Linked DNA regions of Saccharomyces cerevisiae S288C. The gene in region 1 interacts genetically with each later gene. Each region holds a gene or a part of one and is shown on either strand. Other genes may lie near its edges.

Region 1 (4,557 bases):
TGAATCTTTATTGGCTGTTCCTTATTTTTAGAGTTCTTTACAGGATTCTATGGAGAGGTATTCTCAAGGATGACAGAAGTGATAGTGAATCAGACGAAGAAAGTGATGAAAGTTCCACTACTCCAACTGACAGTACTCCAACGAAAAAGGATATTTGAAGGAAAACGGTGTTTTTAAGTAGTATAACCATTACACATTAATTCTTTACACATTAATTCTTTTACGGTCCTGCTCTCACGTTCTTCCTTATTGGTTTATGTAAACAGGTATTTTTATAGTATTCTTTTCCAGACATACAGTGTTATCTTTTTTTCTTGCTTTCGTGCCGCTAAAGAGCTGTGAAGATCAAAAGTGATTTACGCTTAGTTAGCATGAATATAAATTCTCAGTTGAAAAGAAGCTATGTTACATTTATGAGCGTTGCTTTAGTATATCTATACAAAAAAAAGAAATTTTTATACAATGGTCTATTAAAAAAGGCTTCCAAATAATAGTTCAGCTTATTCCATGTTGATGTTAGTGCTTTCAACAGTGGAGCTATCGTTGTCATAGTAGGCCGACACCTTGACTTTGAATTCAGAAGCAGCGATACCGAATTGTTTCAGTATTAAAGCTTGACGAACATCTAATTTTTCTCCTTCAGTGCAAACTAAATATGGACTGTCAATGGTGATCTTACCAGCTTTGATTTTAGTTGGAATTTCAAATTTGTTTCTCATAGTTGGCTCTAAAGAATGAATCATTGGAACATCTTCCTCAGCTGGAATTTGACCACCACGTGAGTAGACAATGCCCTCAGGAATTGTAAATGTTAGTGGTGCTTTCGTGTTCGGTCTTGAATAGTCTGAACGAACGTATGACTTAAAGTATTCCTTGACAGTGTTGACATCCTCATCAGTGAACAATAAACCAGTGACACCGCTACAAAGCTTACTCAATTGATACAGATTTTCTTTGTATTCTTCTTCCCTCTTTTCTCCCAATGCTTTTTGTAAAACTTTCCTCTTACCCATAATTAACTTAGAGCCTGCCCAAGATGTTCTGATTTCTTGTAAAACTGGAGTTCTTACGTCGTCAAGATGTAGGACCCAGACGTATCTATAAGTATCTAAGGCTTCCCTCACTTCATCGAAAATTCTTTCTTTATTTTCTCTGCCCTTTTTATCGGTTTGTGCTAAAGTGACTAGCTTGGAACGTTTTGATCTTGGCATGATTCAACTATAATAAATCTTTTATGGACGATAGACAGTGATGTACGTATAGCAAAAGGAATCAGCTCTGCTTAGCCAAAGTACTACAAATATTTGCAACTTTTCAAAAGCTCATCGCATTTTTCTGGAAAAAAATTTTTTCTTTCACCTTCGCCGGGTAAAGTCCTAATGGTTGGGTTTTCTGAACTGAAATCAAATTGTGGGATCATAGCCAACAGTAGTTGGAAAGGGGAATAGCTTTGATCATACCCAGGGAAAGACCACTTTCTGGGATCGATACTTTCCTTTCTGTGTGCTTTATTAACAACAATATATCTCAGGTGTGAAAATTTTGGATAAACATTTAAAATAGAAGAGTAGCCAAGCATGTCTGAAAATAATTCGCACAACCTTGATGAACATGAGTCCCATAGCGAAAACAGTGATTATATGATGGATACGCAGGTAGAAGATGACTATGATGAGGATGGCCATGTACAGGGTGAGTACTCTTATTATCCTGATGAAGATGAAGATGAACATATGCTTTCTAGCGTCGGAAGTTTTGAGGCAGATGATGGTGAAGATGACGATAACGATTACCATCATGAAGATGATTCTGGACTTTTATATGGATATCATAGAACTCAGAATGGCAGTGACGAAGACAGAAATGAAGAAGAAGATGGACTTGAACGTTCTCACGATAATAATGAATTTGGCAGCAACCCCCTACATTTACCTGACATTTTGGAAACATTCGCACAAAGACTAGAACAAAGAAGACAAACAAGTGAAGGACTTGGGCAACACCCGGTTGGAAGAACACTACCCGAGATTTTATCGATGATTGGAGGAAGGATGGAGAGGAGCGCAGAGAGTTCGGCAAGGAATGAGCGGATTTCTAAATTGATAGAGAATACTGGGAATGCCTCCGAGGATCCTTATATTGCAATGGAGAGTTTAAAAGAACTTTCTGAAAACATATTAATGATGAATCAAATGGTTGTCGATAGAATTATACCGATGGAAACCTTAATAGGTAATATAGCTGCCATACTCTCTGATAAAATTTTACGGGAAGAATTAGAATTACAAATGCAAGCTTGTAGATGCATGTATAATCTTTTTGAGGTCTGCCCTGAATCTATTTCAATAGCTGTTGATGAACACGTTATACCAATTTTACAAGGAAAATTGGTAGAGATCAGTTACATTGACCTCGCAGAACAAGTTTTAGAAACGGTGGAATATATTTCTAGAGTACATGGGAGAGACATTTTAAAAACGGGCCAATTATCAATCTACGTCCAATTCTTCGATTTTTTAACTATACATGCGCAGAGGAAGGCTATCGCAATTGTTTCGAACGCCTGTAGCAGTATCCGAACGGATGACTTTAAGACCATTGTTGAAGTACTTCCAACGCTGAAGCCAATTTTCTCGAATGCGACAGACCAACCAATATTAACCAGGCTTGTAAATGCCATGTACGGTATTTGCGGGGCGTTGCATGGGGTTGACAAATTTGAGACTTTGTTTTCGTTGGATTTAATCGAAAGAATAGTTCAGCTAGTTTCTATTCAGGATACCCCCTTGGAGAATAAACTGAAATGTTTGGATATTTTAACCGTATTAGCGATGAGTAGTGATGTACTTTCAAGAGAACTGAGAGAGAAAACTGACATTGTCGACATGGCAACACGATCATTCCAGCATTATAGTAAAAGTCCTAACGCAGGGTTACATGAAACACTGATTTATGTCCCAAACAGTTTATTGATTAGCATTTCTAGATTTATAGTTGTATTGTTTCCTCCCGAGGATGAAAGAATACTGTCAGCGGATAAATATACCGGAAATAGCGACCGTGGCGTAATTTCTAACCAGGAAAAGTTTGATTCCCTAGTTCAATGTCTAATTCCAATTCTCGTTGAAATTTATACAAATGCTGCTGACTTTGACGTAAGAAGATACGTACTTATTGCTTTACTGAGGGTTGTATCATGCATAAATAATTCCACAGCAAAGGCAATCAATGATCAACTTATTAAGTTAATCGGATCTATCCTGGCCCAAAAAGAAACAGCGTCTAACGCTAATGGTACTTACTCATCAGAAGCTGGTACACTGTTGGTTGGTGGTCTCTCGTTGCTTGACTTAATTTGTAAAAAGTTTTCCGAACTGTTCTTTCCTTCCATCAAAAGAGAGGGCATTTTTGATTTGGTTAAGGATTTGTCTGTGGATTTCAATAACATTGATTTAAAGGAAGACGGGAATGAAAATATTTCACTTTCTGACGAAGAAGGGGATTTGCATAGCAGTATTGAGGAATGTGATGAGGGTGATGAAGAATATGATTACGAATTTACTGATATGGAAATTCCTGATTCAGTAAAACCAAAGAAAATTTCAATACACATTTTCAGAACTCTATCTCTAGCTTATATTAAAAACAAGGGTGTGAACCTAGTTAATAGAGTACTTTCTCAGATGAACGTTGAGCAAGAAGCAATAACAGAGGAGCTCCATCAAATCGAAGGCGTTGTTTCTATTTTAGAAAATCCTTCCACTCCGGACAAAACTGAAGAGGATTGGAAGGGAATTTGGTCTGTTTTAAAAAAATGTATTTTCCATGAAGATTTCGACGTGTCAGGTTTCGAATTTACTTCTACAGGGCTAGCTTCCTCCATAACTAAAAGAATTACATCCTCAACGGTATCCCATTTCATTCTTGCTAAATCATTTTTAGAGGTATTTGAGGATTGTATTGACAGATTTTTAGAAATCCTACAATCTGCTCTCACAAGGCTGGAGAATTTCTCTATAGTTGATTGCGGTTTACACGATGGTGGTGGTGTATCTTCACTGGCTAAAGAGATAAAAATTAAGTTGGTTTATGATGGCGATGCAAGCAAAGATAATATTGGTACTGATTTATCATCTACTATCGTTTCGGTCCATTGCATAGCTTCTTTTACCTCACTTAATGAGTTTTTGAGACACAGAATGGTAAGAATGCGTTTTTTGAATTCATTAATCCCAAACCTTACATCTTCCAGTACCGAAGCTGATAGGGAAGAAGAAGAAAATTGCTTGGATCATATGAGAAAAAAGAACTTTGACTTTTTTTATGATAATGAAAAAGTTGACATGGAGTCTACAGTATTTGGTGTGATATTTAATACATTCGTCAGGCGAAATCGTGACTTAAAAACTTTATGGGATGATACACATACAATCAAATTTTGCAAAAGTTTAGAAGGTAACAATAGAGAGAGTGAGGCAGCCGAGGAAGCTAATGAGGGGAAAAAGTTAAGAGATTTTTATAAAAAAAGAGAATTCGCACAGGTTGATACTGGATCTT
Region 2 (3,582 bases), on another chromosome or scaffold:
ATCATACGTCATATACCTGTCATTTAATAATTTGGTTACGTACTCTGAATCAGTTTTGATTTGATAATTTACTTTTTCCTTTTCATTAGTTAACTTTTCCCAGATTTTCTTCAAAGCTTCTGATACTGCTTCGATTTCAGCTCTATTATTAGTTTGAGCTCCCGATAATAAGGGTTCTGAAATATTTTCCTCTGGCGCTCCTTCAAAATATGCACCATAACCTGCCCTTGAAGATGACGTGCCGTTTCCAAAACTTGAACCATCACAGTAAACGTTCATAGACTTGTTGTACATGGTATTGCTAGAAAGCTTATACTTAGATTCAAAACTTTCTTTGGATATATTCATGAGCTTGTAATCATGCGCACTCATACCACTAATGAAGTTTTCCGCAGCTAATTGGTCTTCAAACTTCTTGAAGGTTATACCCCTTTTATGCTTGACATAGGCTTGACAGTCTTTCCAATTGTTAAAGATTTTACTCTCGATATTTGGAACATTACTCTTTACTGAATAAAAGGTATTTGTATTAGCAGAGCTTAAAGATGAACATGCTGATGACGATGTCAAGGAGGAATAATGAAGTGGCCGATTCCTTCGATGAACTCGCTTTTGAGTGGTATGAGGTTTACTAACTTGCCCTCCAGCATGCGTTGAACTTCCATAGTTTGATGTAGTATTTGGTTGACCTAGGAAAGATTTCGCTTGCTCGTAGCTGTTAAATTTTTTATAAATTGCACCACCATAACCATCAACTTGGTTTTTACATTCATTCCATGTATTATAGATCCCAGTTTCCCTGCCCTTTCTAACCGCGTAGAAGTTCCCTTGCCTTGCCATAATTAGGAATCGATAGTTCCTTCGATAAGCAAGGAGTGACACTTTAACTAATTTAAACAACGTGTATTATTGTGCTGCCATGAAATTAATATAGATCTTTACGACTATTGTACTTGCTTTTATTCATTGTTGATGCTGCTGTCATTTTTACATTTTTTTCTCCAGATAAAAAATAAAAAAAATATGCCATTAATTGATATCATCAGAATTTGACGAAATTCTCAAATCGAATTTGCCATAGTATTTCTTTAACGCCGTGAAGTGAAATTATTTATTACTAATGCTACATTAATTGTTAATTTACCTGTTTCAAGTACAATACAGTAGGTGCAGTGTGCTTTATACATGTCATCAAAGAGGAAAAAAAATCATTAAATTTGTATAAGTGCTACAGCCAAGATCAACCGCTTAAATTGGGAAGAGATTCGTTTTCCAATTTGATTTCTTTTTCGGGTGTTTGCTTTTGTTCCTCTTCATGTTTCACAATTTCATCGGGATTAAACAAGTGCTTAGTTAAGAGTTTATTCATTGAAAACATCGTCATTTTTTTGCCAAAAATTGGTTCCATCTTCTCATCGCATAGAATTTCTCTACGATCTTTTGGGTTTTGAAGATCATGCTCTTTGATATACTGCCATATCATCTTCACTACTTGCGTTCGTGGCAGTTCTTCAGATCCTAGAAACTTTTGTAAAGGAGCTGACAACAGAACTTTGCGGACGGAAATGCTGTTGGAATCAGGACTATCATTCTTTTTCTTCTTCCTTTTAGATTTACTTTCACTTTTACCTTTCCTTTTCCTCGTAGACCTCAAGGGTCTTTCTTCTTCCTTCTGTAACCTCAAAGATAGTTCTTGATCCCGACTAATGAGGTCGTTCTTCGGAATTAAGACTCTTGGGTTTTCTTGTATATCGCCGAACCTCTCAAGAATCAATTCATTAATTAACTTTCTTTGTGAATCCAAATTAACTGAATAGAGAATTTGCAGGGCTTTCCTCACCCTTTTTGGGCTTATTTCATCGGGGTTGGATACGCTCAAAATAGCGTCAACCATCGGAATATATTTATTGATGTCGGCCATAATGCTTTCACCCTCTATTTGCCTTCTATTTGCTCATTTCCTCTTAAACTTTTTCTTAAGGCTTTTCATGAATTAATTAAAATTTTCTTTCTCCTTCGCGCCAGCAAACAAATTATAGGTGACTGACTATAGTTCAACATATATACTGCTCCAGCGCAGTAGTACTACTTTAATAAAAAAGAAAACAAAACATTCTAAAAACTATAAGCTAAATATACTCTTTTGTTAAAGTTCGAAAAGTTTTCTGACAACACGGCTTCCACTAGGGTCTCCAGGGAAAGGCCAATCTTTTCTTACCATGCGTTTTGTCATATATCGTGATTTAGAATAACACTGCAAAATATCAAGATTTTTAATTTGGCCGGTAGCTATAGAGTCATTAAGAGACATATTTTCAAGATCTTTTTGCAGGTATTTTTTTCCACCAGCAATGATTTCCAAATATTTTAAGAAGACTTTGATATAGTTCAACAAGATACATTCGATAGTATCGTGGATCAAAGTAATAAAGACCGGTAATTCCCTTTTCATCTGGTTTTGCAGGTTTTGGAAATGCATTCCCAACAAGTCACGTTTAATATCTCGCACATTTGCTTTTTTTTCTTGTAAAAATAACATGTAATCTTTCTTCAAAGCTTGCAAATCTTTTAGTTTGCTTTTAACGGTAGTACAATGGGCTATGATTCTTTCAAGTGGGTTCATCACATCTGTTTCGAGCTCTGTGAGTTTCAAAATTGTTACTTGATTTTTTTGTTCATGCAGTTTATCTATGTACGAAGAACACATGGTCGATATTAAGTTATCGTGCGCAAAAAATGCACCAGAAGGGCGTTCGCACTCGATCACCTTTTTCCATGCATTTATTCTTCTTAAACTGATATCAATAATGCCTGACAGATCGTTTTTCAATAAATTCTTTTTTAATTCTAACAAACCTTTCATTACTTTCTTGAATTTACTGATGTGATCTGCCAATGTAAAAAATTCTGTTTCTTCATCCATTTTTAGATTTATCATCTCAGCTGAGGCAGTTGAAGTATTAGTGACAATTTCTAGCCCTGATACATCTGAGTAGTAACTCGATGATCCAGAAAGAAGAGAAGGAACTCTACTATTATCCAAATTACTCTCTTGTCGAGATGCATTACATATATTTTTATTTTGTTTGTCTGGGGGTTTTAAAAGGTGTGTAAACTGATCTTCATCATAACTTTGTATAATCTCTGATGGGGTTAAACTGAAATTATACATGGAATTACTCTTATACTCGGAGACCTCGGTTTCTAACTTATTGGAAAATAAAGAATATTTTCTTCTTGTCGGGCTTAGTTTCAAGCCCAATTCTGGCGAAAGAATATCTTCGTAACAGCTTTCCAAAGTTTCCAAAGTATCAATCCACTGAGTCAGTCTTTTCATCGGGCTTTTCAATATGTCCTCTAACTTTATACATCCACTCTCTTTTAAACAATATTCATACCACTTGTTAAAAAAATGATTCTTATTCATCCTTAATGTAGTAAATAGTTCCATTTGTTTTTGGTGGCTAACAAAATAGCTTGTGTAGGTGGATTTGATTCTTAACAAATGTTGCTCGAACGCCTCTGAAATATCAAAAGTTGAATATAGCTGCTGTTGTACCTCATTTTTGGTGAATATCTTTT

Evidence for each region. A genetic interaction does not mean that the proteins touch.
Region 2: mutations in MRT4 (region 1) and TRI1 together harm fitness more than expected from each alone (negative genetic interaction), as found in Saccharomyces cerevisiae (2 studies listed by BioGRID).

What each region holds. Positions count from the first base shown.
Region 1 is NC_001143.9:422,896-427,452, reverse strand, and holds MRT4 (ribosome assembly factor MRT4), read right to left. Parts: upstream 1,212-4,557; coding exon 501-1,211; downstream 1-500. Other genes in the region: sphingosine N-acyltransferase LAC1, read left to right, coding at 1-158; putative ubiquitin-protein ligase UFD4, read left to right, coding at 1,578-4,557. UniProt on the Saccharomyces cerevisiae protein: Component of the ribosome assembly machinery. Nuclear paralog of the ribosomal protein P0, it binds pre-60S subunits at an early stage of assembly in the nucleolus, and is replaced by P0 in cytoplasmic pre-60S subunits and mature 80S ribosomes.
Region 2 is NC_001145.3:737,524-741,105, reverse strand, and holds TRI1 (Tri1p), read right to left. Parts: upstream 1,922-3,582; coding exon 1,241-1,921; downstream 1-1,240. Other genes in the region: RNH1 (RNA-DNA hybrid ribonuclease), read right to left, coding at 1-840; FUS2 (Fus2p), read right to left, coding at 2,147-3,582. UniProt on the Saccharomyces cerevisiae protein: May be involved in transcription regulation.